2 linked regions of the Drosophila melanogaster genome follow. The gene in region 2 interacts genetically with the main gene of each other region. Each region holds a gene or a part of one and is shown on either strand. Other genes may lie near its edges. The genes, in order: Sema1a and Mmp1.

The links.
Region 1: of Mmp1 (region 2) and Sema1a, changing one suppresses a phenotype caused by changing the other (phenotypic suppression), as found in Drosophila melanogaster (one study listed by BioGRID).

Annotation. Positions count from the first base shown.
Region 1 is NT_033779.5:8,532,998-8,549,286, reverse strand, and holds the start of Sema1a (semaphorin 1a), read right to left. Parts: upstream 7,141-16,289; 5' UTR 7,075-7,140; intron 6,075-7,074; exon of another isoform or gene 5,572-6,074; intron 4,744-5,571; 5' UTR 4,054-4,743; intron 1-4,053. Other genes in the region: CG17834 (uncharacterized protein), read right to left, coding at 8,051-8,829, 11,824-12,056, 12,216-12,393, 13,019-13,080, 13,208-13,227. UniProt on the Drosophila melanogaster protein: Involved in growth cone guidance through its role in axonal repulsion. Function in neurons is essential for adult survival, motor neuron survival, and is important for climbing behavior and activity.
Region 2 is NT_033778.4:24,672,920-24,688,879, reverse strand, and holds the start of Mmp1 (matrix metalloproteinase 1), read left to right. Parts: upstream 1-1,502; 5' UTR 1,503-1,877; intron 1,878-3,789; exon of another isoform or gene 3,790-4,173; intron 4,174-6,438; 5' UTR 6,439-6,564; coding exon 6,565-6,666; intron 6,667-12,280; coding exon 12,281-12,684; intron 12,685-12,754; coding exon 12,755-13,670; intron 13,671-13,738; coding exon 13,739-13,907; coding exon of another isoform or gene 13,908-13,942; exon of another isoform or gene 13,943-14,204; intron 14,205-15,563; coding exon of another isoform or gene 15,564-15,601; exon of another isoform or gene 15,602-15,960.

The sequences.
Region 1 (16,289 bases), on a different chromosome or scaffold from region 2:
TTTCTGATTTACTAGAAAACAAGTGCATATATCTAATGCTTTTTATTAAAAATAAAATAGAGTAGATAGTGTTTGGTGCAAGCAGCAATTATGAAATTAGTTGCTATCAAACTGGGCCCTTTTTTTTCTTGTAATATTCAACAGCAAAAATGTTTGCCATAAAGTCATAAACAAAGAATGCTATTAAACAATTTTTGAACGGTAGCGCACTGATATAATTCAATAGGTTCATTAAAAAGTGTGCCATAAAAAGAACTATAGCCGCTTTTGTTGTTTACTTTTTTTTTGCAAATAACTTTACACACGCGAATGGCCATTGAAAAGTTTTAAAGGAAAGGGGAGAAGGGCGGGATTAGGGCCAAGGGAGAAGCTCTTTAAAGCAAAAGCTTTAATAATATTTTAATTAATAAATTAATTATATATTCATGGTTTTTATTGTGCAAGTGATTTTAGATTAAGTGGTCATTTTAATTGCGATTTTATTGTACTCCTTAACAAAATCCAATTTGTGCGCCCAACGATTTTGTATGCGGGCACAGTATTAAAAGTGGTTTGTAATTTAAGAACACATAAGTTGCCATTCATGTTCGTTTAGATAACATTTATATCAAGTGAAACTTACAAAAATTATACAATTTGTTATCAATAAACATGACTTTTATGTTGATTTTTTTTTTTTTTGCGGCAAAAATCAATAGATCAAATTTTTTGTTTTCTTTTTTTTTCGATTTAATTAAGCGAAATCCATTTGTCCCTGCCATCTGCCGATTTTTCCCAAATCCATGGTAGGTGTGGCCGAGATAGCAGAGCTCGAATTGAGTGTCAATGATACCGTCATTAAATCAATCATTTTGGCCAGTCAGCCAGCCAGCCACTTGCGGTCTTAATTTGGTCAACACGCCAAGGAATATTTTCCTACCTTGGCTGCGTTATTTGTTTTTCTCTGTCCTTTATTTAGAAGTGTTTACTTTGCTTTCTTATTTGCCCAAAAATTCTTCGACTATTTTGTTACTCACATTTCATTTTTGCAGGCCTGACAAAGAAAAATGATTATAATCAAATAAACGACGAAATTCTTTACCGATTTTCCTTCGTTTGGTAAATAACAAGCATTGATATTGTCCCGATATTGATTGGTTTTGTAATTAATGTGAGTAAATTATTTTCTTTGTAATGTAATCTAACATTCTTGTTTTTTCATAATTAAATCATGTCGATAAATAATGACAGCAATCCAATGGCAGAGTTAAATAAAAACTTTAAGCTTTTTCCTTGCCAATAGAAGGTAAATCATGATTCTAGCCAAATTGGAAAAAATAGAAGATACGAGTGGAAAATAGGGCATGGGGGGGGGAGAAAAAGAGTTAAAATAACATTTTAGACTCGTGTATCTTGATTAGTACAAAACGCCCACAGCGCGGATCTGGAAAAACGAAACGAATTCAGTTTTTTTTTTTTTTCCTTATTTATTCCTCTCTGTGTTGTTGGCTATAATTTCTGGTAAAAGCAGCTCTAGCTGCACTGCGTATTAGTCAGATTACAGTGGCAACAAAATGGGAAAAACACCACTAGGTACAGATACAAATGCATTGGGGTACCAACAAGATTTAGGCCGTAAAATAATTCATGATTTTATTGAAATTTATTAGCATAAGCATGGGCACCATTGTTGTTTTGGAATGTCTAGAAAAAGCATCTCATGGTTGCGACGCTACACTTTTTGCTCCTATTGCCAACTTGCAGTCTGGTCGAGATGAAATCGTAGAAATTGAATTGAATCGCTTTGGAGTTGGGGGCCAAATGGCGAATGGCAAATAGCAAATGGCAAACGATATGCGTATCAATGGATAACAAAACGAGGAAAAATTGTATCGGTAGACAACTACAAATAGCAAACATTGCAAAAGAAGAAAAACAGTCCAAGTGCTACCAAAACACACAAATGCGAACCAGTTAGCCAGTCGGAAAGAAACCGAGTTCAGTCAGTGATGTTAATTTTTATAAAATAAAATCACTAGTACTTTAATAAGAAACATATAAAGCTTAATTTGTGATAATCATATAGTAATGTTACAGTTTGCAAAACTAGAGTATTTAATTTTTATAAATTTATTTATTTTCATCTCCGCCAGCAAAATTAATAAGTATCTCGATATTCTGGCTATTTTCCCAGCACTTTTGCTGGCCAACTCCGTTTGAATTTGCCTGTTAATCCATCTATATGCTAGTCTGCTCATTCAATTTCTTCGGATGTGATAACTTACTGCACGACTTTGGCTTTTCTAGTCTTGTTTGGTGGGTAGATGGAGGATTTCCACCACCCACTGCGCTCAGCACCCGCACATTTAACTGAAATGTAACTTTTCTATCCGCGGCACTGTTGTTGTTGCGCTTTTCCTTGGCTCTTTCTTTCTACACATATGTGTATCTTGAACGCGTTTCGTTGTATCTACTTAAGGCAGCTTAAATATTTGTGTAACATAATACAAAACATACGGGCTTCTTTGGTTATACTTAGATACATAGATTAGATACTTGGCTAGGAGAATGTGAAATGGGCCGCAGAGTGGCAAAGGAGGTTGAAAGCCAGAAGTCCACAGTCATCTAAACCACAGTCTAAGCTCACCCGTCTTTGCACAATGGGAAGCAAATATAGTTTATTAATAAAAAAGATAATTGATTAAAATTTAATAAGAGAAATTCAGAGAATTTGAAGAAGATCATCAATTGTATTTCAATTCTTATCAGATACATTTATGTCGTTTACCATGAGAGGGGGAATCAAATTACCATAAGAACTTGGAATAACATTTCAAGAAATGACCATTTACAAAAATGAAAGATTCAGGGGAAATACAACATCCCATTAGGCTAATCTCAGCGGATTAACGTAGATGGCTCTCTGTTAAATTCCTAAATATGCAAGCGATTAAAAGATTAAAGCTATCAAAAGCGATGACGAAGACCATTTCTCGAATCGAAAATGTATCACAAAACGAGAGTAAAAAAGAGGCAATCACAGATAGGAAAAGAAACAGATTACAGCTGTGAAATCGGTTAAGTAATGCAGACATAAATGCGGGTGAAGCAGAACTAAATCAGATTCCCGAGTGGAATATTCAATTTTTTCAGCTTGCGTGTCAATGAGTAGGCGCTTAAGGGATTGAGCACATAAAAAATACTTCATATGAAGTGTACCAGTTTAAATTTATCAAAACAAATAAAAAGATCTGATAACCAATTTAAAAACCCCTCTTTTGGGTATTAAAATAAATAAAGTTTTAGTTATTCAAATGCAACCTAAGAACTTGGCAAAGAAATTGTTCAAACTGGCATCTTTATGTTTTTACTTAATAGCTACCACATTTTTATCAACATTTCCAAATCACTTGTTGTCGGTGTCCCTTTTCTGTGGTTCCCACTGTAGCCGTATCTTAAGTGTTTGGTTCGCCTTTGTTTTCCCGACCGTCCAATCATCTGCTCCACTGTGCCGGGGTATCAGCGTGCTTTGTTTACATTTCAAATGGAAATCGCTCCGTTTTGTATCTCTGTCTGAGCTCCGATATCTCCTGCTGTGTGTCCGAGGGTATATTCCGTATCTGTCTGCAAAAGTGCATTTCAACCATTTTCGGTTTGTCCTAATGAGTCTCGTCCAATGCCCACACCCTTCGCACTCAAGCAGTCGTGTGTGTGGCGTACGCAAATATCGAGAACGACTTTTGCTGACCCTACCAAGGTATGTCCTTCCTTATCCTAGAACGTGGCCAAAGGACAATACGTGCGCTAAATATAGATATTTCCCGGCACGACCGATGTGCATCCACTTAACCCTTGAAAAAAAACAACAATTTTGGGAGCTGAAGGCAACAAGACCCAGTGTTAATGCATTTTCGAACATCCCAATGTATCTGGCATAAAATACGTTCTGATTTTCCAGAAAATTAACTCCACCATTTCCTGCGATTAATCTTAATCCAAATGACTATGTTTATAAAAATGCGACACTTGGATTGCTCTTACTATATTTAATAAGATATTTATTTCTAAACGTACCTTTCCAAAAACTGTCCAGCAAAATGAATTGTTCAAAAGTTGAAACTCCGTAGACGTTGGAATCCAAAATATTCTGAAGATTACGCAATTGATTAGTCCCAGCGAGTCCTGTTTATCGTTTGTTTGCTGACATTGATCGATTGATTGGGCTGTTGTTGTTGTTGTGGTTGTTCTGATAGCTCGATTATCGATTCGCACACACAGACTGGTGAATTGGAATTTTTTGATTCGCACCGATCGCTTGTCGTACTTAAACAAATTATAGACACTTACACGAGACAACACCGAAGAACACAAATTTGTTATATTTACTTTATACGCAGATTAATGCCAGCGGACGACGATGAATAATAGGATAACAGCAAGAACAACAACAACGATGCACGACGACGACGACGACAAATATTGTACATATGTACAGAGGATACAAGGACTCACGCACACAGATGCAGACGCAGATGCACGGGCGCGATAACGGTTATATCGGATATATGAATAGACGAAACGACGAACGGGGGGGCGGGGCGGTGCGGTGCAGGAGTCGAATTAACGCGACGGCGATTATCCCTTAACGGTACCGGTTCTTCATGCGATAAGTAGGCTACGGATGCGATTTCTGAGCATATTTTCTTGGTTTATTCTTTTTCTTTATTCAAATTTGCCTTATTCACTTTGTTTCTGGCTTAAATACTGTGGAAATGGGAGAAGGAAAACTGGATTAGATTTCAGTTTCCCAATCAAAAGTTATGGCCGCAGGAAGAGCTTATCTTGAACACAAATATCTGGCATGTAGGGCTTTTTGAATTAAAATTAATATTTGCTACGATATGAAACACGATTTGATGAAGAAATGATCAAGAAATATCAATTGAAACACTTTGTAATTCAACTTTTTTCCTGATAAATTTCTTATTATGACAACAGTACTTTAGTTTTCTTTTTTTGGTTGGCAACGCGCTGCGGAGAGATGCGAATGGGGGGCACAAGGCAGAGTCGAAAAACATTATGCGGGGGGTGCGTGAGTTTGAGGAAGAAGAATAAGAGAGTGCTGCTCTCTCCCACTCTTACTCTCACTCTCTCTGAGTCAATTTGAAACGCCGCGAGAATGAAATGCAGCGAAACGAATGGTGCACAAAACGTGGCCAGGAAAATAGAGAAATAAACAAAATATAAAAAGGATAATCCCAAAGAGAGAGGGAGGGTGGGTTAGCGAGAGCCAGGACCGTTTCATTCCCAAAACGTACCCAAAACAGAATACAAAAGCCTGGCTCTCCTTTCAACTCTCTCGCCCTCTTGCTCACACCCGCAGGATGGCGAAAAATCAATGAAAAATATGTGGAAAAATTGCCGAAATTGTATATTTTTGTGGATTCGCTCTGCTGCGGCCTAAACTTTGGGTGGAAACACAGTTTTCGTTATTTTCTTTTTCTAATGTGCCATAATATTCCAATTTTGTTGTGATTGCCAATTGCAATTGGGCAATTTTCGGCTTTATTATTGTTGCACACAAACACTCACACTAGCTCTCGATTGCACATGTTTCTAAATTGAGCAATTACCAATTTATTAATTAATGTACACAATGGACAAATCACTTTTCACAATTGCGCGACACAAAGGTAGCGGTGCTGGAATTTGTTTATCAACGCGAAAGAAACATTTATATCCTTGTCGAATATCCGGAAATTAACAAGAAAATATCTTGAAAAATAATATTTTACAAGAAACCAAATTTCGTTTTATGCAGCGTTTCTACCGGCGATTTATCCAATATTTTTGTTTATTTATTAATGCTGTTTTCAGATATTTTCCAACCGGAGCAACAACGCGCTGCAGCAGCGCGGGCGTTAAATTTTCGAATGAAAAGGGAACTCGCACGAAAGAGAGTTCAGTCTCAAATGGCACTTTCTCTGGCGCTAGGGCATTTTCCGCGCGTTAGTGCGTTTTCCAGCGCTGACTGCGAAGTCGCGAACGGTCACTTTTTCGGTTCTCTTTTTCTCTCTCCTCTCTTCTCTTAACAGCTGGTCAACAAACAATATGCAAATTAAAAAAAAAAACAATAAGGATAATTATTTTATTGACCTAAATATTAAACTAAGAGCGTGCTACTAAAAATTTATATAAAAATTGCAGGCCATAACACCATGTTATTTATATTACCGAATTTTATTGGAAAAAATGTTGTCTATGGCAAATTGAAAACATTAAAAAATATTAATAAATTTTTATCTAAAATTACTCAAACGATAAAATGCTTGAGCTCTTTTATTTGTTCACGCAAAATTGGAAAACACATACACGGTTAAGTTTCTTATTTCATAAACATATTAGTTTCTTGTGTCCTTTAGAAGGAACACGCTTAAAGAGAAATTTTAAAATGAGAGGCTCTCTTCAATAAGCCCTCTCCTCTCACTATTTCCTTTTCGTTGACTGAAACTCCCCCTCAATATAATCGGCCGCTTTAAACTCTTATTCTCCCTCGCGATACTTAAAATAATTAATTTAGTTATTCAAAAAAAATCAAGAATATTTTGAAAATTATGGAAAATACATAGTTTCAATTCAAATAGAAAATAGAAATAATGTTTGAAATTTCCGTCGTTCCGCTCTCAGTGGGCGCGGGTGAGACTGCGCCTGTCAAGGGCGTTTGTGTACGAATTTTGAATATCAACAATCTGAGGGCACGTGTAGAAAAAAATTTTTAAAAATTATATATTAGGAGAACACTTCTATAATCAGAAACCATATTTAGTCACCAAAAATAGTTCTTCTCGAATAATAAATACGTTTGGTACCTGGTACCTAATTGAAACCTGGCAGCTCTACACTCTTTTCCTATTAGGTTCTCTCTTAAAACGCGCTCTCTGTTTTGCCGGCCGTTTATATGTATTGCTTTATTTATAATTTACAATTTAACCAATTCACTTGGACACGCTTCTTATTCATATTTGTTTAATTCACAACTTAATAAATTATTAGGGCACTCTACGAAATATATTGTTTATGTTTTTATATGAGCACCTTGCAAATAAAACAACTAGAATGTTTTGTTGTACAAACAACACACACGCCAATACGAATGAAAACTGGTCGACTAGCGTTGCCATTGGGAATTTCTACAGCCAGTGCTACCATATTGGGTGGTAAGCTAAATGGGTCCGGCTTACAGTTACCCCTTAACAAAACTTATATACCCGTTGAAATGTGTTTCATTATATATCACTTCCAGGATGACCTAATTAAATATACATGTTTGACGTTTTTTTAAGCTATATGGTGCAATTTTTTATTTTAATTTGTTGGTCTGAAACATGTATTGCATTACTTAAATTTTGAAATTAAAAAATTAAAAAATTAAATTAATAAATTAAAACAATCAACAAAAAGTAATTTTTACATCTCTCCCCGACGGGGAATTGAACCCCGGTCTCCCGCGTGACAGGCGGGGATACTAACCACTATACTATCGAGGATGTTGTCTACCCACTGTCAAACAACCGTCTCGAGCTTGCACACTGTCTTCAGAGTACAAATGGGGAACAGATGAAATTGAAACAAGCATTCACACTCCGCAAACGGAAAACCCGAGTTTGACTCACTTTGTATAACATCCTCGATAGTATAGTGGTTAGTATCCCCGCCTGTCACGCGGGAGACCGGGGTTCAATTCCCCGTCGGGGAGATAAGTGCATTTTTTTTCAAGCTCGCATTTATTTCTTTTAAAATGGTACAAATAGATATCGTTTAGATTTTTATAAAGATTTATTAAGTAGGATCTTTAATCGCTGTTTTTTGTGGTAAAATACAATTTATTTTGTAATATCAATCATTAATTCAAAATGAAGTACATCTGAATACTGAGGAATTGTTTGGACAAGGTCATTGCTTAGAAGATAATACAGAAAACGCATAAGCAGGTACTAAAGGCTAATAAATTTAAAACATTAAAAACATGGACAAAGTGATTAACAAATAAATATGTATATCTGCAGTGCGACTAGTCAACCTGCTTGCCCTCGTCGCGATTTCGTTTGAAGGACACGGAATGAATAAGTAAGGGCGGTAGATTGCCACGCAGCATCTGGAGTCGTTTGCTCTTCTCCTTCTCTGGCCGTCGCAGTTCGTCCTTGGAGGACCCGGGCGAGGCAGAGGACGAGGCCATCGATGGCGACATGGAGGCCAGTGAACTGGCGCCGGGCAGCACCTCAGAGCTCTGGGTCAATAGCATGGCAGATCGACGGAAGTAGCGCGGCATGGAGTAATCATCCTGTGTGGCCCGAGCAGCATTCGCCGTTTGAATGGAATAGAGACTCTGCGATACCCGGTACTTCTCAATAGTGGGCGTGTCCTCGTAGTTCTTAGGCAGATTACTGAACGATATCGATGGCACCTCCGGCGTCATGCTGATCTGACTGCTTCCGGTCATCGTACCGCTAATGGAGAATATATCCGTCTCACTGGCCGACGAACGGACATTCATGTGCGGAACGCTCTTGGCGGATCGCAGGATCCGTTTGGGCGTGGTCGTCAGTCCACTGGGGTTGGCCAGCAGATGAGGATGCCGGTCGATGAGGCGAGGTCGCAGCACCACCTCCTCCATGATCTCCTCCTCCTCATCGGCCTTGTCGTCCTCCTTCTCCTCCTCGGCAATGGCCTCGAACTTTTTGGGAGTAAGTGTCGTTTGGCTACCCGACGGCGAGCATTCGGCCGAACTGGGAGCCAGGGTGAAGGTGATTCGCTTCTCGGTCGATCCTGTTCTCGCATCAGTGGCATCTCCTGCAAAAAGAAGATATACTCCGTTTAAAAAGTGTTCTGCATTTGCAAGTAACTAAACCCATATTATTTAGAGATATTGTCCTGATTTCATTGTACCCTAATTAGCCAGCTGCCAGAGAGGACAATATTATCTTTGGAAGAGTTGGAAAAGTAGATGCCATTGTAAGACGCATAAAAGGTTGGCAAACAAGATAACGGTTGAGTTCATGGCAGATAGGAAAGATATGTGCAGATAATAACTAGCCCTCGACTTTGGCTAAAATGGAAATTTTAGAGGCGGAACTTACTAGTTAAGTTTTATAGTAAATTTAATAGATTATTAGTCTTGCCTTCTTTTGACTTAATATTTCTGTACTCTTAAGATTTATAAATTTAATTTCATTTGACAACAAATACCCAAGCAATTGGGTAAGATGCATTTAAGCATCAAATGAGTCGTACCTTATCAGTATTATTTTTTATAGTATTCATTCTGATTCAGTCAATATTTTAGTATATAATTGCAATAAAATTTTGTTTCTTTATTTGGATAACAACATTGCGCTTTCAAGGCAAGTCATTTTCAAATATGTACATACTTAGTAAAGTCGCTTTGATAGTTTATTTGTGAAATGAAACTTAAAAGTAGGATAAAATTTAGCTGCAGTTAAAGATTATACTAATTCTGTTATGTAAAAATATGTATAGATACTTATGAAATCATTTAATTTACTGCCTAATAATTCTTAATCGGTAACTACTTAGATTTTGTTTTGAGAAAGCAAAATGTGTTAAACAATACAATATGACGTATGATTTAAGTATCGTCAAGACCCCCGACAATAAACGTCAGCTTTATAAGGTATAAGGTATAGGGTTCTGACGAAATAATATGATGTAGATGTGGAAATACTTAAAACAAAACAGCTATAAACTGTATAGGAGCCATTGACTGGCGAATCGGAAAAGTCATCCGACATTAGCAAGAGAACGTGATGACTACGTGAATGTAATTAAGATATCTCATACACACGTATGTATAACAATATAATTTACAAGTATAAATAAAAATGAAAATAGTACCGTGCATAAAACTTAATTGACAACTGAAACTGGGCTATTTATTGTTTACTGATCGCTGTTATTGTTTCGTTTTATTTCGAAATGAAACCTGAGATTATTCGAACATACAATCAATTAAACGCGATTTGTTAAATATCGATACATACAACACCTGCTGTTTAAATATTTTTAATTGAAAAGATCAATATATAATTGTATATTTAACATGCATAATATGAAGACGGAATTTATTTTCTATAGATATACTGATGTATTGATTATTTTTCAATTAACCTAAAACAAGTGAAGATGATATCTATATGTTATCATTTTTGCTTGGAGTTTTTAAATGTGTTCTATAGAATGAAATGACAGCTCTAAAGTTCTACAAATTTGACGATTTCTTTATTTTTATCAGCTAAGGAGGAATCGATTGTTAGCATGCAAAAACTGATTACCAGCTCGAGTTTCTTATCTATAAAAAAAATTACCTATACGTGTATTTTTGACAAAATACATAAATGGGCAGAAATATTCATATTGCATGGGTGTTTATTTGCTGTTAACACTCTTTTATATGGTCTCGATAAGAAAATCGAATATTTGACTAATTACGTTTGGTTCGTTTTGCTGATGGAATGGGCTTGGTGGCATAAGTCGGTCGCTGTGATTAACCATTTGCGAATATTGCGATAAATCAGTGGCGCAGGCCTAATAGCCCATTAAATCATCTCCAATTGCCAATGGTTTTATCTCTGCTTCCAATTGTGATAACAAATGTGTGACGTGCCGCAAAATATGTTTCTTTTTTTTATATATAACTCCAGATGAAACCAGTACCTTAAGGTGCTGTCTGCGTCATTGAGAAATAAAATTGTTAATTAAATTTGGACTCGGATCCAGATTTGTTCTTTTCCGCTCTTCCTCGTTTGGAGGTTCGAACTTCGAATGAATGAATTTCTTTTTTTTTTAAGCCAAATGGGGTTAATGGATTGTGAGTCAAGCCTGCGGAAAAATTTGGATTGCAAAAATTTGTAATAATTGTTTGAGCAAATGTGAAATTTGCTTTTCATATCGTCTTCGAAATTTGTTCATATATTGCTTATGCATTTTTTAGATTCCCTTTTTAATAAGCCAAGACTTTATTTGATTTTCGTAGATTCTCAGTGAAATCATTTCAACCACTTCTGAGAAATCTATCGAAAAACTGAACGCTTAGAATGTGAATATGTTTGACTAAGCGATCCCAGTCCCATGCAATTAGTAAAAGCTGTTGAGTAATGCCAACTTGACAAACAAAGCAATTGTTCAAAGTGCACAAAACAATTTGCTAAAATGATGGTAGGCGCGATTTAAAGGCACGACGATGTTGTATTAATCAGAACTTTTACGTAAAGATGAAGTCAGTAGTCAGTCAATTTAAATAGCACCTAAATATATATAAAATATGTGGAGCGTAAAAGTGAAAACCAAGCGAAAATTTTGTTTAAAAACTTTATGAAAATCATACTGTTTGCTCTTTGTCGCTTAGGACTAAACAATTACAAGGTCCAACAATTAAGACTTAAATGGTAAACGTTTAAGCTAACTTAAATTAGGCTACTTAGGAGTATAGATAATACTAAATGCCAGTCGCACTGGCATTGCTGTCTCTATCGAATATTGTGTAGCAACACTTACAGCTAATTAGTTAATAATATTAAGTCACATTTTGGCGATATTGGTCACTCTCCAATTGATTATATCCGCATTGCGAGAGTTCCTCAATCTTTGGCACAAATACTGCTAGTACCCATTGAACCCCAAAACCCATCGATGTTCAGTTCAGATAGAACTTGACCTTGGGCACACCGCTGGATACGATGCTGCTGCTGCGGGTGCTCTTGCCGCTGCTTTTACCATTAGCAGCACCACCCAAAAGTGGGGTGTGTGCACCACTGGGGCCATCATTACCTTCCAGACGTCGCAGCAATCGATCCTGATCGCTGAGCCGCGGAGTTGTCGGCATTTCGCGATTCGGCGAATGGATTCCGGCCAGATAGGTCTTGGTGCTGATCCGGTTCAGCTTGGTGGGCTGATGGTCCTGGAAGATTTGCGAATTGGCAAAAACCGCCAGTATCTCCGGTCCCAGGTTGGGCACATTGATCTGTGTCTCCCGACGATAGTCCTCCTCGTGGATCTTGGCGCTAAAAGGGCCACAAAGAAAACAGATATTGGTTATAATGTCAATTGATATGGCCAACAGTAAGCCAACACGAGCATGCCAATTAATCGCTAATCGCCAGCCAACCAAACAAAGTGCGAAATGCGATCTCTGGATTGGGATTTGATCTATCTATTAGTACCTCATTAGGCTCAGGCCCAAGCTCGAGTTGCCCTGCCTCATTTGCGGCTGATCGCAAATCGGTTGGGGCACCGTCAGCGAATTATTATTATCCACCGATGTCGGTTGTATGCGTCCAATGATCTGGCCATTTTTCCTGGACGCCAAGTAGTCCTCGTCCTCCTCGGGATTGTAGTTGGCTGAGAGGCAAAGAAAGAGCAGAAATTAGTAAATGAAAAAACCGTAATCTTATAAACAAATTTATTCCAGAAACTTCCGAGTCTTCTCTCCTTGAATTTCATTTTCAAACAAAATGTGAGTCTTCTACAGAAACGAATTTGATCTAAGCTATAAGCCCAACTCTACCTCTGGAATATTCTATCGTTAAATTCTTTTAAGTACTTATTATTATTCATTTTTTTATATAAAATAATAAAACTATTTTGCCTTTCTATACATGCAAGCATTTATGTAAACAAAACTTGTCGCAGCTTACTTAAGCGCAACTTTTTAAGATACTCTATATGCAAGTTTGGCAAAAGTGCCATAAAACTGATTTATCAGCTTGTGTTTTATTTTTTCCTTTTACGACTCGTACTCGATTTCAAATGCCAAACACGTTAAATCGCGCAAAAATCGCCGTAGCATTGTGCGTTTCAAGATCTTATTAGTTTCTTGTATGTGTGTGTGTGTGAGGCGTGCGAAGAGAGTGAGTATTTGAGTGGCAGTAGCCGAAGTACTCGTACTCGTACTCATTTTCAGGTAACCGTAACCAGAGTATCCGTATCCGTCAACTGCCCAAATCAAAAAAGCTCAAAAACTTACCGATGGATTCGTCGTAGCAGAAACGCTCCTCGAAGCAATTCCAGTAGAAATCTTCCCAGCAGCTACAAATGGAAATGGATAAAGAAAAGGCAATTCGGAATGTGTGTTAGCCAGGTGAATTGTTGGCTCGAATGCGGAGCAAGTTGTCAAGCGTGGTGGGGTAGGGGGAAATTCGTAGCGTTTACTCACTTTTGACAGCAGCGGCACATTTTGTTGTTGGCTCCCTACCGCTCTTCCTCTTCCTCTTGTTTTCTTGACTTTATTTACTCTCCGCTCGAATAAAAAATGAAGAGAATCCGAGTCCGAAAATCGTTGTTGTGTTGTAACAATGCTTTGATTAATTTATGATTTCTGTTTGGGAATAATAAATTAAATTCGGATTTGTTCGACGAGGACGAGTTATGTTGTTATTGTTTTTATTGCCTTTCTGCGGAGGAACGTGCGGTGCGTGTGACTCGTTCCAGAAATTTTTTTTCAGTGGCGAGCGGTGAGCGTGTGAAGACAGCTTTTATCGGCACATGAAGTGGCCCCAAATCGCGCTCTGATGGCGCTCTCCACCCGCTCTCCACTCTACACTGAGGGAAACACGCTACTGAATTTCAAGAAATTGGTTTTTGATTTTCGAAACCGTATTTTAAAATAACAATATGTTCTTATGAATATATTAAAATATTTTTTAACAAAACACTCAAATATTTTGTTTTATGTTTTTAGAAAAACGAATTTATTTATTTGAATTGAAGCGTAGTTCAATAGCGTCGTTGCACCAAAATATTGCTCATACGACACGTTTACCTTGTAAAACCATAACCAATTCCCGGCTATTTTTTTAATATGTCTCGATTCGTTTAAATATTTGTTAAATAATATCATGTAAAGAAATATTTAATTTATAATTTTTTACTGAGAATAATTTTTCCATGGACATTTTTTGAGTGTACGTGTGTGTGATAAAAGTGAGTACGTTTGAGAGGAGCTACTGGAGAACGCTCTCTTTCACCCACTTTATGAACTCATCTCTCTGGAAGTGGAGCTATGGCAGGGGGTGGTGGGCTGGGGCAGAGACATTTTTAGAGAGCCATTGATCGATCGCGCATGATAGATTACTGCCAGAGAGTGATGATTTTGCGACAATTTTTAACTATTTTAGGCGCTCTTTTGCTCTCCCCATTAAACAGCGCCAACTCTCTCTTTACGCGCTCTCTTGTGCACCGTGGGTCAGGTGGCGAGAGGCGCGTCCACAACATTATCAGATTAAAATTGCAAGAATATTTTATAATTTATGAGCAACCGTTATCTCATTCTATACCGTTCAGCTTAAATTCCGTTCGCATTATTTCGCAGACATTCAAGGAGCTTAACGCGCAGTTTATAGACAGTGTTAATTTTAATAATGTAAATGAAGAAAACAATATGATAGAAAATATATAATAAGCATGGACTAATGTAGTTCAATGTGGCCTACTCTTGTCCCACTGTAACTTGTTGCAGTATTGTGACACCTGCTCAAGCCTTGCACTTCTGTCGCGTGTGTGTGTGTGAGTGGTGGGCGTGTGTTGGTGGAGTAATTGAAACTTTTTAAACTTGCACCGTGCACACACGAAGATAACCTCGCTACACATGTACTCGTGTTTGCCTGCCTGCGTTTACTTAACGCTTTGAACGATAAGCGTTTCTGCAAATTGAGGCCACATTCTCTGCACAGGTGAGTGCGTTGAGTGGTGGGAGGCGTGGAATCCACCCAAGGTTCGCCAATAAGCATACTTTTGGGCTGATGAAAAATCTCCTTTACTCACAAGCTTCGCCTCTTTGCTATCAGCGTTTTCTCTTCCTTACAATCTTATCAATAGATTGCAAATTCAGTTTTGTAAACTCATATCAATAGATTACTAATTCAGTTTTGTAAGTTCTTATCAAAAGATTGCTAATTGAATTCAAACGAGCTGATAAAGGACAACTCCCTAAACAGAGTTCAACAAACTGAGCCGTGAGACCAAGTGATCAAGTGCAGACGAATGCGTTTATTATTACTAGTTAATTCGTAAATGACTACTTTCATTGCGCCAGCTTAACAATGTTTTGTTGCTCAAACCTCTTTTTTGGTTTATCTCCAAGTTCATTCTACGAACCTAATCTCTGAATGCAGATAAGTTAACTCCCCGATTTGATTTGACTTTAAGGTGTCAAGAACCAAGACAATTGTTTGCCGGTTGTAAAGATATGTTTAACACCGAAAAAAGAAGAAATTTAAACATTCGTGTGTTAGCTTCTCCTGAGTTCATAGACCACAGCGAATCATGATCATGTGAGACCCAGCTGCGACAATCGATCAATTGTTTGTCTTTTGATAAAGCCGTAGATATATTCGTAGCATTCATAGCATTCGAAGCATTCGACGACAGTTGAATTGAAAAGCGCTCAACACTCATTAAACTTGCTACGATGACGTGAAAGGGGTTGGGGGTGGGGCCATTGGTAATTGAATGTCAATCAGCTGCGCTGAAATGAATAGCACTCATTTTGTTGCTACCTTTTCGTTGTCACTGTTACTTTAAGCCGTGTAATGCAATTTGTTGATGTCTACACGTTTTATGCGTGAAACTCATTCCAACTCGAATGGCGTTATGCGTTATACAACACACCACGAGGGGGGTTGGAGAAATATTGGAATTAGGTAAGCTAATGGGATTTCAGAAGCAACAGTGATTCCATATAAAATTTTTCTTTTTATGACAACTTTTTCACTAGAAAGTGTATTATAACCAATTTAGTTCTGCCTTACAATTTCAAAACTTCAATTTTTTCGAACTCACTTTTATGCTATTTTTAGTTTCTGCATAAAGTGTTCTTACTTAAAATCTCTATAAATTAAAACTTAACTGTAATTATAAATTAACTTGACATAAATGTGAATTACCTTGAAACAAGTCAAACAACTTTTGCTAAAGCAAAGTGAAAAAATCATAATTTGTGGATAAAAGCTTAGCCACTTAGTCAGCTTCCACTTGCCATATACCAACCCTTTTCCGAGTCATTAATTGGGGTAAACAATTTAAAAGCATTCAGCGAAAATCATTTAAGTTGTCTCTGTCTTTTTAATGGGCTGTGAAAAGTTTGCGATTAATATCTCGTTAAGCAAACCTGACAAAGCAAACAGCATTTTGTGGATTTGTAGTTCTTTAATTTTCTTTTAACCTGACCTTTGAACTGGGTCGAAATTGAATTGTTTTGGTAATTTGACAGAAAAATATCGCATGCCACAGGTAAAAAA
Region 2 (15,960 bases):
ACAAAGACACCAGTAGAAGGATTTCTTTTGAGATACCCAAAAGGAGTGGCCCCATCAATCAGTGCGGTTAATCAAACAATCACTCAGACTTCCTGCTCGATTTGAATTGCTCTTTTGTATCTAAAATCCTTAGTTTATTCGCCTGTGCGACAGCCATATCAAAATATTTAATTGCAATACAAAAGAAGACATCACCCTCACTTCTCCCCGCGAATCTCCTGGTGGGGAGTCGGTGAGGAGGTGGCCGTTTGAGGAAGAAGCCAAGAGGACGGCATTCCAGCACGTTTGATTGCGTATAAATCAAAATATAAGAACAATATAAAGCGAAATTTAGCATCACAGCGACCGAAGTCGAAGCAGAGTGAATCGAAATGAATCAGCCTGTTCTGCAGCCGAAAAATCGGTGGAAGGCGACTCAATAACCTATGCCACATTGGTGCCACGTGCACCAATGCTCGGAACTCTCAGGATCGGTCTGACATGACTCATCCGCTCAAGAAGCCGGGATTGATGCGTAACTATCCCGTTATCGAAACGAAACGAGGAAGCTCCCCTAGCACTGCGAAAGGGGTGCTGACAGGGAAGGACGCGGGCATCAAGCCGAGCTGAATGACTGGCGTTTCGGATCTCGGAACGGAACGCTATCGGATCGCCTTGCTCCCGGCCATATAAAAGAATCTAAGCGGAGCGTCCCGAGTCTCAGTCTAGCGCACTAGCGAGCCTCAAAAACGCACTCGAACTTGCAGTTACGGCAGCTTGCTGCGGAAGGCAAATCTCCATAAGATATAGTATAGCTAAGCAAATTAGCGAGTGTTAAACAAATTAGTTTGTGCTTCCGCTGCGTGAAAAGCTTTCCACCCAGAGTGAAAAACCCAATTTAGACTGAGAGCGAGAGAAAGCTGCGCCCTCAGGTGAATCATCAGTGGATCTAACAGCTAGCCAAAAGCTTGCTAACTTCTGGCTTACAGTGCGTTAACAGTGAAGGTGAGTCCTAGCCGAACGAGCTTTACCCCAGCCCCATGTTGCTCGCCAGAAATAAGTGCTGGTTTTTTAAAAATGCACGCAATATCAAATAGGGTTTCATTAAGGGAATGTTATATTATGTTAAATAATATCCAATCGATCGCCATGGGTAGTACACAGTCTGCTAGTCTGGCTAGTTAAAGCCAACAGAGAGCTAGTTCCTTCCTAATCCTGTTGCTCCACAATCACATGCAAGGGACGAAGGAACAGGGGGCGACCAGCTATTTTCAACCACCAGAACTAGGATTCCACCTATGGACGACTGTGTGTGTGAGCGGTGGTGTGTCGGTGGTTATTCGCGTGACTCGTAAACTAGAAGCGAACACGGACAGACCCAGGTCTTAGCCATTAGACCCGCACACACTCGCAAGCCCCATGGAAATACAAAAGTAGGGGTGGCGAAGACGACGACGCGAACATTATTTTGCTGAAGGCGGAATGGCAGAGAGCTGGAACTGAAACAGCAACAGAAAAGCCAAACGAGTAGCAATCGGAACCCGCTGTGAATCGGTCGCTATCGCTTCTCGCGGAACAAGTAGTCTTAGCTTGGAAACTGGGAGCTGTGCTAGCCCCCTGGACATGAGTGTAGAGTGTGGATAGTGCCCTGCCGTAGCCAAATTCGCCCAAGTGATAGTGACTATATAGTGACTTTGCCCGCCTTATCTAACCACCAAGATCTAATCGCCATCGGTCGCAGATAAGCCCGATAAGTTCGAAACAGCCCTGTGAAGAAACTAAAGAAAACAAAAGTCGCTTTGTGCAATATTTGCTGAAGGAGCACGGGCACCGAGCTGATTATTTCACAAATTGGTTTATGCAAATTCTGTTTGCTCAATTCGTCTGTCTGCCGTATGGTAAGTTGATATACCAGGATGACTCATGTCCGCCAGGGAATTCCACTTTCTCGACGGGCATCAATGGGCCAAGAGCGATCTTTGCTCGGACTTCGCATTTGACATTGCGGGCGGATCACAGAGGCTGCCCAAACAGTCGGCACATAGGAGCTTTGTAACATTCCGATACATGAATACATATAATTATAGGCACATCAGATACTTCATACATACTATCGATGCCTGACCGTGACGTGATTGAGTTTAGAAATAGTTTTTCGCACTCAAAGTCAGAGCCGCGCACTCTATTCAAATAATATACAATACTATATTCATATGCAATTAGCATTATCTGCTCCATCTGTATGACAATTATATGTTCTGCTCGGCCAGTTGGCACAGTTCAAAGGCAAAAGTCAATGCGAAATCGCTTGATTCGAAGCGGCGTGGAAAAGTTAATTTCACTGCCGGCGCAGGCAACCAACCTTAGTGCCAGCGCACTGCATCGCATCGGGATGGGGCATGGACTAAAAATACTATAAATAGTTGTCTTTAAAGGCAGTAGAAACTCATAAATATTTCATTGTGCCGATGGCAGAGGAGCAGGGCAAAATGCATCGCACAGCAGGCGGCGACGACAAGTCAACTTGTCCACTGCCATAACAGAGGAATACATTCGTGTATATATGGAAAGAGACCACGGAGCCCTGAGCCCAGAGACCAGATCCCAAGCCCATGGCCCATGGCCCACAGCCCAGAGCAGATGGGCAAGCAAAGAGGGGCTGACAGCAAGCCAGATGCACTTGGTCCATGGATAAATGGCAGCAACAGCATCCGATTTGTCTCACAGCCCCCGCTTTGTTCTGCCAAGTTCTGTTCTGTCGCGTTGGATGTGCCAGCTCCATAAAGCGCATCAGGAACTGTCGTGAAAGCAGAATGTCGCCCATTATGTGGCTGTCGGATTCGCTTTTCGTTCTCCAGCTACATCCCAGCTGAACCTTTGGCTTGGGCTTGGGCTGCTAGCCAATTGCTCAGGCCGATTACTGGATTTGTTTGCGCTAGGTGGCAATTTGATTCACGTGGCCGCTGAGTCACCCCAAATTGCACTCAATTGATATTAATGGGGTGGTGCCGACGTAGGGCGAATATATTATCGATTCGCAGAAGAAGATACCCAGATGAATAGCTTATTAGCACGGGTCCGCGAGAGATGAGGTGCTAATCAGGCTGCTGTAAAGGCGAATGTGTTAATCTACACGATTTATGAAGGCAAATAGGCGTAGATGCACCGTTATCAAGCACAGCTAGTAATAGGCACTTATCCTATCTTTTTACACTTCTATATTCTTATTTTCGGTGAAACATACACTTTCCGATTATCACTCATGAAATTACGCATTACTCATACGCCCATTGAGAAACCGTTTGACCAGGGGAATCCAGACCGCAGATTCATTCATAAAATCTTTTCGGTTAGCGGCGAGGTGTGGCAGATCGGAAGTTCACTCGAATTCGTATGTGAATTTCAAGAAACCAGATCCGCTGAGTTGTAAGCGTTTGCCTAAGGGAAGCGGGGAGAGTAATGTGCTAAGCTTCGGATAAGCTGTAAAGTGCCACCGAGGGCGAGTGTTTCGGTGGCCGCAGCGGTTGCTGTTTGCTGGACCAGCGGCGTATGACACATGTGCGGGTGATTCCAAGAAGCGCATTACTCATACGCCTCCTCTCCAGCGGAAAGGGGTGCGGGGCGCGGAAGGAACAACTTCGATTATTGGCAACAGGTTTCGGCTGTCCCCCGCTACGAAATCTCCATCTCCATCTCCACAAGCAAGCATCGCCAGCGCCTCTGTTAGTCGCAAAAGCTTTCGGCTTCCCTCTTCGAAAGCTCCACTCACGATCGCCAGTCGTCGTCGTGCGGCAGCGAGCTCTGAAGATCAGTTGAATTTTGCGCGCAGCCCAGGGCGGATGTGTTTAGCGGCGAGAAACCGAAAAAGTCACCACGATAGAATAAGAATCGCAGTTGGAGTCTAGTGCTATATAAATAGTCGCGAAGAAAGTTATTCGAAAAGTGAATGAGTTCAGTTTTGGGTTTTGGTTTTTTGGTTTTGAGTTTTGGTTTCTAACGCGGAAACGAGCGGGAAAATGGAAGTGCCAGCGAGCAATTAGTGCAGCCAGACATAAAGACACACTCACAGCTCGAAAATACAGCAAAACAAAAGGATTGCGACTGTGAATTATAAAGTATAAATTATAAGCAACGACAACACATCCACAGCGGAATACGCAGCGACGACAGCGACAACAAACAAGAGAAAGAAATGTATGTGCCGAGAGCTAATTAATTAATTAATTAATCGTAAGTGTTGCAAGCGACATGCAGCAACAAAGGCAGCAGCGATAGTTCATTGATCTGCAATTGCATCCCACTGGCAGCCCAGCTAATTGAAAGGTCAACCAGAAGCGGGTCCGAGCCCATTAATCAGACCTAACCCATTGAGCACTCCGCTTTGGAGGTGAACTTGAACAGCACTGCGGATTGGGCTGTTTCGACACTGCTTGCCCAACCCGGCGTGTGATATGTGGCTATCACTAAGGTCAAGTTCTAGTAACACTTGGCCACTCATGCCCGAACTATGCATTTGGTAGCTCCCAACATAACTCCCGCCGATCGCCACCATATCTTATCGCCCTCGGGCCGTACTCAACGGGTATAGACAGCTGATAAGGCTAACAATGCCAAAAAGACATATCAAGTGGAATTGGGTGTCGTTGGGCAACTTGGGGGTATTTTTCAACGCACGTCAACGGCGGAGCCGATCTTGGCGAAACTGGTTGGACTCCAAATTTATTTATTATTTTAATTCGTGATTAAATGGGCGCTGGCATCCAATGCCTGACTCACGCCTCTTCGCAGAAATCCCAACTTCGAGTTTCAACTCAGAGAAGGTGGCAAGGAGCCGGCGAACCGGTTTGCAGCTGGCCAAATCCACCTTATCGTCAGCGAGTAGAAGCCCTGCTTATGACCCAATTCTGAACATCGAGCACACACCCAGACGTGTGCTACATGTCGTATACGTAACCATTACGATAAACGAAACAGGGCAACTTTCGCTCTGAATGCAGTTTCGCCATCGATTGCTCTGGCCAAAGCACTTAAAACTCACTCGCTTTATTGATCTAACAGCGGGGAAATGCGTCCACCGTTATGACAACCCAGCGGATCCCCACTTTCCCCTTCAACCCATCAGGCGGGTTAACCACACGGCGCTAACCTTAAACTGTCAGCCCGGCGACCTTCAACCCGGCCGAAACATTTGCCCAAAGAGAAAATGGGAATTGTTTATGGTATTTGCTTAGCGAAATTATTGTAATCAGATAAAACCGGCGGGCCAATGGGGTGTGCGTACATTCAAAATAAATTCGCCTGTTCATTTGGCCGCTTGGCTGTTTGGCTGGATCTAGCGGCTAATTGCCTGGCATAAAACAGACTGCTAGCTGTGCCGCTCCGAAATCCCCAGCGATTAGTCAGCAACAACAAGAATGACAGGCTTAAGTGTTCAGTGTCCGCTCCAGATATATACATACATACGATATATCATGTATTTGCAACGGCGAGCGCTACACGGTGTGTATTTGATATGTCGCCGTCACTTTCGGCCACTTGCTGCTGCTATTGTCACTCGGATGCCGGACAGTAGTGGCATCGGTATCAGCATAGGTGCAAGATATAGTGGGGTAAACATCTCCATAGACATACGAGTCTCGCGCCCTAGGTCAACACCATCCATATCAGCAGAAATACGAACGACCGTGGAAAACTGCGCTATATTTAGCAAGCCAAATATCAGAATATCAACAAGAGGCCCACAGTCCTTTACGGTTATGGCCGACCTGGTATTTACTAGTCTAAAATTAAATTCTAATTGGAGTCTAAACTTACACGAGCTGTTTATGACGTCCGAGCTGTCCAGACACTAGACCACATGACTTACCACTACCATATGTACATATATCTCGACCGATCAAAACATCGCGCACAGGACAGCTGGTTCTCCGAGGGGCTCAACGAATGCGAGATGCTCTCGGGGATTAGGTAGACACAGATATGGTGGCGGCAAATATTTGGCTCTGATAAGGGGTATTCTTGGCCCGATGGCTTAATGGCTTAATGGCTTAATCGCTTGACAAGATGTGAGAGTGCACTTTTTGGTCCCATAACAGCAATTGTTTTTTGTTCGCCCTACGTGCATAATAAGGGGTTTGCCACACAAGTGTTGTGCTATTTCTTACTACTACTACGGACACTGTTTGCCTCAACTGAAAACGCCCGATTCTCGGCAACGCCGGCCACTTCCGATTGCCGTTCCACCTGCCACACAGAATGTGTGCCACATTCAACCTGTTGGAAAGTGGGATTGGGGTGGAGTGGAGTGGAGTGGATTGACTTCCGTTCGCCCTTTTGCACTTGTACTTGGCCTGCTCCCTTTCCATTCGCTCTGTTCCTGTTTGCTGCTGTTTTATTACTTGGCCGGCTTTATGAAATATTAATTGACCTTTTCCCCACCTTCACCCTTTCCCTTTGCAGTGATATAAAGTTCAAAGTGCCAGCGGCAAGTGGAACCACATGACAAATAGACGAGCCTCGGGAGCAACCCACTGCAAAACCACCAACAACTGCAATATTAGCAACAACAGCAACAACAGCAACAAAATGACAAACTGCCAAAGTTCAGTGTTCATAGTCGTAGGCACCCTGTTTTCCATCATGGCAGCGGCTCAATCGGCACCCGTTTCCACCACCACACAGGCAGAGGTAAGTTTATGCGCAAATAATTAAGTTATTACCAGAAACTACGTTCGTCGTAAATTGTTCCGACTAAATTGAATCTGACTTTTCCGTTCATCTATAATTTATATAAAAGCTTGTACTGCTGTGGTAAAAACAGGGGATAATGGCATCTGCTATTACGAAATTAAACAGGAACGAACTCAGAATGGAAATGAATCAGATTCGGAGACCGATTCCGAATCCGAATCGGTTTTTTGCACTTGCGGTGACGACAAATGCACGAGATAGCCGCTTTGTCTGCTCTGTCTGGTCGATTTATACTATATAGTCAGTCCATGAGGCTCCACTTCCGATTTGCATGACGGGCGTGCCAGGCGCTCAGAGCTCCGAGTGGCATGCATTGGGATGCATTTGGGAATTATACCCAATTTTCCGCCAGACAAAATGTTCCGTATTCACGAGTGTGTCTGTGCAACAGGCTAACGCGCATCGCAATCGCATGTCAACGGAATTTATTCCGCTCACACACTCGGCTTGGTTTTGGCCCGGCTCAGAGGTTCTGGCCTTAGCCTTAGTTGGACGGCTGGAAGTGCATGCCGCCGGCTAATTGCAGTTTGATTATCGCTATCGTTATCGCTCGTGACATTGGCCAGCGGAAAACGTGGCTGTCCACTAGGAAAACTCGCACGCCACTCACTCCCCAGCAAATCGATTTAAATGCACTCCCTGCGCCATTCATTTTCAAATGCTCAAAAATAAAAGTAAAGCGGCTTAAAACACCTCATATCCATAAAAGCGCTGATAAGCATAATAGATCTAGAAATTCCCTCATTACACCAGTAGATTCTAAGAACATATTAAAAACCCACAAAACACACAAACGCCATGATAACAATAGAAAGTGTGCGAAATAGGTGTTTTTATTTCTTATTAAAAATGTAATTGTTATTATAGACGTTTCAAATGACGTTTAATTTTAGAAATGATTCAAATGTGCCGTCTTGAGGGAAATTCCAAGTTAAAGCCCTCTTAACCTGTCATTCGATTCCGAATGGCGCACCTGAAATGCATTAAGAGACATCCACCAAAAAAAGTGATAACGAAACCTCATGAATTATTACTTTCGATTTATTGAATTATTCCTCCCCGCGGCAACTTGATTTCCACGCTTTCAATTTATAAATATTTATCTGCGGTTAATTGCTTGTCATGATCGCTGTTTAGCTGCTTCGCCGAATGTAATTTCCAATTACACATTCAACAATCCATGCGCTATCTACCATCTACCCGAAGCTAATCACGTTTACTTGCCACAGACTTGCATAAATTAATTGGGAAGACGCGGAGAAGCGGACCCAGAACTTCCTGATTACCCATTTACGATCGCCGCCTCCAGCAGGTGATGATATGGATACAGTATCCAGCCAGTCGATTCGCTTCCAATCGCTGGTACTATACTATATACCATCACGCCACGCATTAGCGCGTGCTTAACATTGATTCTAGGTTTATTTATGTTTTACGTAATCCCCGACTTCTAATTGGTATGTTGGGCGCGTTGGCCATAACTTGGCTCGTTGTCGCTGGCCAGTCGCCCCAAAAGCAGCTAAGGCGACGGTGTTACGTGTTTGTCTCTCCAATGTCAGGTTCTTTGTTCTCAGATCCCTCCCGAAGCCGCTGCCGATGCCGATGCCAAATGCTTTCCCATAAATCTCCCGGAGAATGCAAATCGTGCAGACCACCGCCGGAGCAAGGAGGCAATCGTGATTCTGCCCCCATCAGATATCACTTTCTCAATCCGATCGAAGCAGGAAAACTATCTGCTCTATCTATTTCCCAGTGAGTCATGCGCTGCGAAGCCAGTGGCGAGCATAATGGAGCTGTCAAGAGGTTAATTACTCGGCCAATGAGCGAAACTCAAATTCACTGGGGCGCATTCGTCATCGCGGTGGGGCGCACAAAGGAAAAAACAGAGAGACCCGTAGAACTTTCCTGCTCTAAATATAGCTAATCAAGTCCGGTAATTCGCCAAGTAGTTTGCACTTTTCCACCAGCTCCCCGCTTTCGTGGCCAAAAGCAATCGATAGAGTGAATTGTTTGCCGTTCGTATCCGAGTTTGATTGATTTGCCTATGAAATAGTTGCGTGCGACCTTCGCGAGGTGCCAAATGCACAGGCGAGCAAACAAAAGGCTGCTTCAGCCTTGCAGAGAGGCACTTGACAAACAACTGACACTTTTTGCTGCTTTGAGCCAACATCCTTTCTCCTTTTCAGACTTCCCCAAGGTCACTCATAGCTTAGCATTTCACGCGTCTCGCCATAAACAACCCGGTAACCGCCTAAAAAGGCTTCGGAATGGCAGCGGCAATAAAATCCTTTTTTGCCTGACTTTGCATGAATAGCGCTTTTTATTGTCCGGTTATCTTAGCATCTTGACGCTTATTTATCGCTGTTTGAAATTAGCCACTTGGGGCAAACGGGGCTGCAAGAAGGAAGACACCTTCTGGAAATGTCAAACACTTTGTGGGAGTTTCCCTGCTATGCAGCCTGAACTAAGAACCGAGTTTTAAACTTTAATTTTTCCACACAAGCTGCTTGCTATTACTCGCTCCATAGCCCAATTTGTATGGCAAAACCAGCTGGAAGTTCTTTCAATTAATTCCCTCTGAATTAAATTGAAATCGTTATACAACTTTAAGCCGCATTTCAGGCTGCCGTTGGCCCAGTTTCTGTTTTGGTTTCCCCGGTCTGGTTTGCGTTCGTTATAGTTTTGAGTTTTCTTTTCAATCTGCACAATCTCCCCAATCGACTCGTTATGGAAACCCAAAAGAAATGCCGCCAAATGAGGCGCCTGCGCTTCGATTTGCAACTGAGGTGCGAGGGGTGGTGATGTAATCGCCGCGCTAAAACATTTAAGCCAGTTAAGCCTGTTTACTAGTTGGCATCGAGATTGGACAACTCAATTGCACACGCTTACGGTGGGAAAATCGCAGGGAAACACAGGGAAAAGGTCCGCCATTTGCCTTTAATTGTCGCAGACACTTTCGCTTATGTGCCACGTGCCACGCAAATATGTGTGCAACTAGGTCTAGGTTTGTTTGCACGCAGCTTGCCTAGGGAAATGGAGAAATGGAATCCCTTCTACCTATGACCCCCGTGTGACGGACGAAAGTCAACGACCTGGCTGACCCACATACCGCATTCCTTCCCAGGTAAACTAACCACGCACCCCCGAAAAACGTTGAACGAATGCCCCAGAGTTTTCATTCGCCTGCTTTTCCCGTTGGCAATAATTTTCCCATCAATTTCCATCGGGCACGTTGCCGATGTATACGAGAATTGTACACAAAACGATACTCGTTTTTATTTATGCATGTCCTGTTCTTGTTTCTACCGGAAATAAACGAGGTGGAGCAGCACGCCTCCAATTGAAATGGGTGAAAGTTCAATGACTCGGCGATGGGGCTGCCCCTGCAATGCCATTTCCCCTGCAAAATCAAATCAACTTGGCAACTTTGCACCTGTGCAAATTGTGTTAAATATTTGAAGGTTGCACTGCGATTGTAGCATACTTTCCTGGGCTCACACACACCCCTGCAGCTCTTGGCCAAGTCGAGCTCTACAGTTCGCAATCGCTCACAAAACCCCGTGGGCCACGTCCTGCAAGTTCAACTCCTTCGACTAAGTAAACCAGGCAAGCAGGTCAGCCAACTGAATAGATACCTCCCCCCACAAACTGGTAGTTTCTGGGTGGCAGTACACATACAGAAATGTATAAATATTTACTGGGTATAGTAAGTTGCAAATTGTTGGGGTAACTCCATTCCACCTCGCTTTCAGCTAAAGCGAATATGTTTTAGCCCATGTACAGATCAAACCATATACAGAGTACTTTCAGTTAGTTTTACAGTGAACTACCTAAAGTTCTGGGTCGTGGCAAAAGCCATTCTGTGTTGACATTATTGTTCGGCTGTCCGCCAAACAGCAGAGCGCAAAAAAGTGTGTCAATGTACAATAATAAATTGAAGTGCAATTTCAACGCCCTCCGAATCGTGACCCGACTGCAGAGGCCCTCACCCCTGGAGCGCGTATTATTTCCAATGATTTGCATCTGTCCGATCCAATCCCGCCGAGAATCGGTAATCACATGCAAATGCATGTGTATCCAAATCGCCGTGGATGCACTCAAATCATGGCCATTGGCCACCGAGCAGCTGAATGGAAAGCCTAGAGCGATGAGTCCCGAAAAACGTAAGCCGTGTTAAATGGGTGCCCCAGCATTTCCGGTCTAGCCCCGACTTCCGTTCGCCTTGTGACGCATTGCCTTCTGAATGAAAAATGCGTCAGAAATGACTCAATTGCGGACAGGTTGAGTGTTCTTTTGTTTGCTGCCAATGGGGGTTATCTTATCGATGGAAGATAACCGAAAGAGTCGTGTTTGCGTCGCCGAACAATGCATTCGATTGCTGTCAGTCTGTTTGTTCTATAACAAAAGCTGCATTACAAGCCCCACAGTTACCCAAGCATACTGGCATAGCACCTTCTCGGTAATCGAAGATGTTCGTGCCCGCCAAATGGGAGTAATTATGTTAATTGCACAAAGAGGCATTGCTAAGATCGCAGATGAGTCGTTACAATCGCTCTGAATCTGAATGGGAATCTGGACTTGGAGTGGATCTGCATCTGTCCGGAGATGAGTGACAGATACTCTCCACTCGAACCGTGCTTTGTTTACAGTTCGTTTACCTTTCGAGGAACGGACCGGACCCAGCTGATCGGTGGCGAAGAGTAAAGACTGGTAGCCAACCCACCCAGAAAAAGATCACAGAGCCACTGGCAGCAGACGCGACTCGAATACTCAAGATTCCAGCGAAATGTTTACTTCCTCGCAGGCGGAAAGAACACAATAAAATTAACAGTCAGCTGGCATTATGCAAGATTCGGCAAATCATTATACAACATGTACTATATACTATATATATATATGTATGTGAGCGGCGGCATTAAGTCATTAAGAATGTGCGACACATAAACGGCCGGGGAACCTGATGCCCATGCCAAGTCGAAAATCGTATTATCGCATTGCCGAAACGTTAAGCGCATAAAACAAGCGGTTGTAAGACAGTTTGCCGTTGTAATTGGCCAGAAAGCAAATTCCATGTAGCTAGATAGTTAGATAGTTAGTGAACACTTAACTGTTGAGATAACCTCGCATTGTTCTCCGATCGCAGTGCACTTCCCTGATGCGCAAACTGTTTTCATTCGATTTCTCAATGTTACAATTTACAATTTACAATTAGCCAGTGATCGCTTCCTTAAAGCTGCCGATGCTTGATGATCGATTAAGCGTTTTCACACCTTTCCCAGTCACGTCGCATTCGCAGGTTATCTGTATGGATATGGGTACATGCATATGAAGCATACGACATGGTGCCCCTTTCCCCGCTGGTTTATTTATAAAAAGTGGAAGCCAGTGAGGCGGTCGTAAATTATGCAAGTCAGATGGAAAGGAAAGGCGACAGAGTAGCCAGGACTAATCTGATTGTCATAAATCAAGTTGGCCGCGACGGGTGGCCATCGGTCGCAGCCCATTGATCTTCGCCAGCTGTCCCTAAGCCTTCCTTCCTCCCTCCTTCCAGATCTACCTGTCCCAGTTCGGCTATCTACCCGCCTCTGCCCGCAATCCCGCCAGCAGTGGGCTACACGACCAGCGGACCTGGGTGAGTGCCATCGAGGAGTTCCAAAGCTTCGCGGGACTGAACATCACCGGCGAGCTGGATGCGGAGACAATGAAGCTGATGTCCCTGCCCCGCTGCGGAGTTCGGGATCGCGTCGGCACCGGTGACAGCCGCTCCAAGCGGTACGCCCTGCAGGGCAGTCGCTGGCGTGTGAAGAACCTCACCTACAAGATCTCCAAGTACCCCAAGCGGCTGAAGCGAGTCGATGTCGACGCGGAGATCGGTCGCGCATTTGCCGTGTGGTCCGAGGACACCGACCTGACCTTCACCAGGAAGACCTCCGGCCCCGTGCACATCGAGATCAAGTGAGTACCACAAAAGCCTTTATTAAATACAATTGCCAATCTTCCTCTCCTTCCTTTCCCTTACTCCCAGGTTCGTGGAGAGCGAGCATGGAGACGGCGATGCCTTTGACGGTCAAGGCGGCACCCTGGCGCATGCCTTCTTCCCTGTCTTTGGCGGAGATGCCCACTTTGACGACGCGGAACTGTGGACCATTGGCTCTCCTCGAGGCACCAATCTGTTCCAGGTGGCCGCTCACGAGTTCGGTCACTCCTTGGGACTCTCCCACTCAGATCAGAGCTCCGCTCTGATGGCGCCCTTCTATCGCGGCTTTGAACCCGTCTTCAAGTTGGACGAGGACGACAAGGCGGCCATCCAGTCACTGTATGGGCGCAAAACAAACCAGCTGAGGCCTACCAACGTGTACCCGGCCACCACCCAGCGGCCATACTCTCCTCCAAAGGTGCCACTAGACGACTCCATCTGCAAGGACTCCAAGGTAGACACACTCTTCAACTCGGCGCAGGGCGAGACCTACGCCTTCAAGGGCGACAAGTACTACAAGCTGACCACGGACTCCGTGGAGGAGGGCTACCCACAGCTCATCTCCAAGGGCTGGCCGGGATTGCCGGGCAACATCGATGCGGCGTTCACCTACAAGAACGGCAAGACGTACTTCTTCAAGGGTACTCAGTACTGGCGCTACCAGGGCCGTCAGATGGACGGCGTCTACCCTAAGGAAATCAGCGAGGGCTTCACGGGCATTCCCGACCATCTGGACGCCGCAATGGTTTGGGGGGGCAATGGCAAGATATACTTCTTCAAGGGCAGCAAGTTCTGGCGCTTCGATCCGGCCAAGAGGCCGCCGGTCAAGGCTAGCTATCCCAAGCCCATCTCCAACTGGGAGGGTGTTCCCAACAACCTGGACGCAGCGCTGAAGTACACCAATGGCTACACGTACTTCTTCAAGGGCGACAAGTACTACAGATTCCATGACGCCCGATTTGCTGTAAGTACTGCTAGCTGGGGATCTCAGCAATACCTAAAACAATACCTTATTCTTTTGGACTCCCGCAGGTTGACTCGGCCACGCCCCCCTTCCCCAGACCCACCGCCCACTGGTGGTTCGGCTGCAAGAACACGCCCTCGTCCACAGGTAATATCGTCGAAGGCTCGGACAACGAGTTCGAACAGCACTCCATGATCCCGCATGCCGACGATGGCAACGGTGATGACTTTGACGCAGGTGAGTGGGACCGACTCAGCGGTAGTTTTGTTTGAGCTCGAATCGATCTACTGGATCCACGAATATCGAATCCCGAACTCTGAAAGTCAAAAAGATCTCATAGAAAGAAGTCTTGTATGAGTTGTTACTTAGCGAGAAGCAGTTACAAGTAATGAAATGATAATATTAATAAATCCTATCTTTATGGTATGTTTAATTAAGTTAATGTCTATGTAGTGAAATTCTAGTACTCAAGTCGAATGTGTTTGTCTTTGTTGCCTATGGAAGAAATACATTTATAATACCTATTGAAAAACTAATTACCAAACTGTGTGTGTCAAATGTCTTTTGCCAGTCTATATATATATATATATATGTATATACATATATAGCGTGTGCCTTATACAAATATTGTAAAATTTTACCTTCTCCTAGTCTTGATTTTGTGGTGTTTTATTTTAGTTTTGTTTCAGTGCTTTCATGCTGAGTTTTATTTGGTGAAAGTACTTTTCTATAGAGTAAGCCTCTAAGCTTAATTTTAATGAAACCAATGTTGTAATTACTTTTCTAAACTAGCTGTACTAATCATCTAACTAAACTTTGTAACTAACCCAACTTTGCTAATTTCATCTTCAACTAACAATGTGTTCTTTCCATTAACTTAACTAACCCATCCTTGGTAACGCTTTTGGTACTTTTAGTTTTTTGATTCTATTAAACTAACCAACTCAATTTAGCATACCATGTACAAAGATACTTAAAAGAAAAAAATGAATATAAAAACACAAATAATATAATACCTTGCTTACAGTTTAGTAGCCAAAAGAATATATTAGCAATTATCAGCCGCAACGACAACAACAACAACCAAAACTACTGGTCAGTCGGTCTCACTAACTGAGGTCCCAGATCAACTCCACCGGAAACCATGTTCCTAGCCTATAAGTCACGATCGTTGCATGCGCTGTTCCTAACCGCCTAACCAAATCCAATATAGCATCTGCAATAGTTACTAACTGGCTAATCCCAAGAGCAAGCAACACTATCTGTTAAACACCACAAATTCCGAAAATGGAAACCCCCAAAAAGAACACCCCACCCTATGGTCTAAGCTCCGTAGTTCCGTAGCACTAAGTATATATCTAGATATGGTACTGTTAATATTTGATCTTCCACTCCCCGAACTAAACTCTATACCCTGTAGTCGAAATCGCAGAACCTCGAACCATGTTTATGCGTAACCGTTTCCTTGTTTTGGCACCCTCGGCACAAAATTCCAAATGGCTAGCGGCTGGGTTGAGCCGCACCTAAAACCACCCACTCACTCTCCAACCACCCACTCTACCCACACCACCCAACACACACTCACATATCCGAACTCCACACGCCCACCCAAGTAATTGCATGAACAACTGAAATTGTACTAACATGGAGCAAACAAAAGATTCCCACCTGCATGGCACGGAAAGTCGGAGGGTATTGTAAGAATGCTGGATATATGGGCTCTCTAAGTGATATGTGATCCACTCCCGTTATGACCCAATCTCACTTAACACTCGCATGCACGTGCCTGGCCCATAATCGTCTAATTTGCATTCAACAAGAGCCGAACAATCCAAATGTATTCGTATTCGTCATTGTCATCTGTCTGTATGTACGTATGTATATTTCTTGCAGGCTTTAAGAGACGCGGATACAAAAACAAGAACAATTAACCACAGCACACATCCAGAAAGCACAACAGCAACAACAACAGCCGAACAAAACGAACATCGACTCCATAACAACCCACACCACCACCACATCCACATCCACATACATAAGACTCATGGCGCAGAAGAATCACAAAGCGAATGAGCCGCCATAGCACATGGCATTCGGTCTTCTGGCTGCTTGCTACTGTCTTTCTTCTCCTTTCCCGCCTCTTCTCCCGTACATATATCTTGTGTGTGTAGTTGTAGTGCGGCAATGCTGATTCTTCCTGCTCACACGTAGTATCATCCTGTTTTAGACTGCTAGACCCCATCGCATCGCACATCCCGTCCTCCCAGAATGCAACCTTGATATTGCTTTA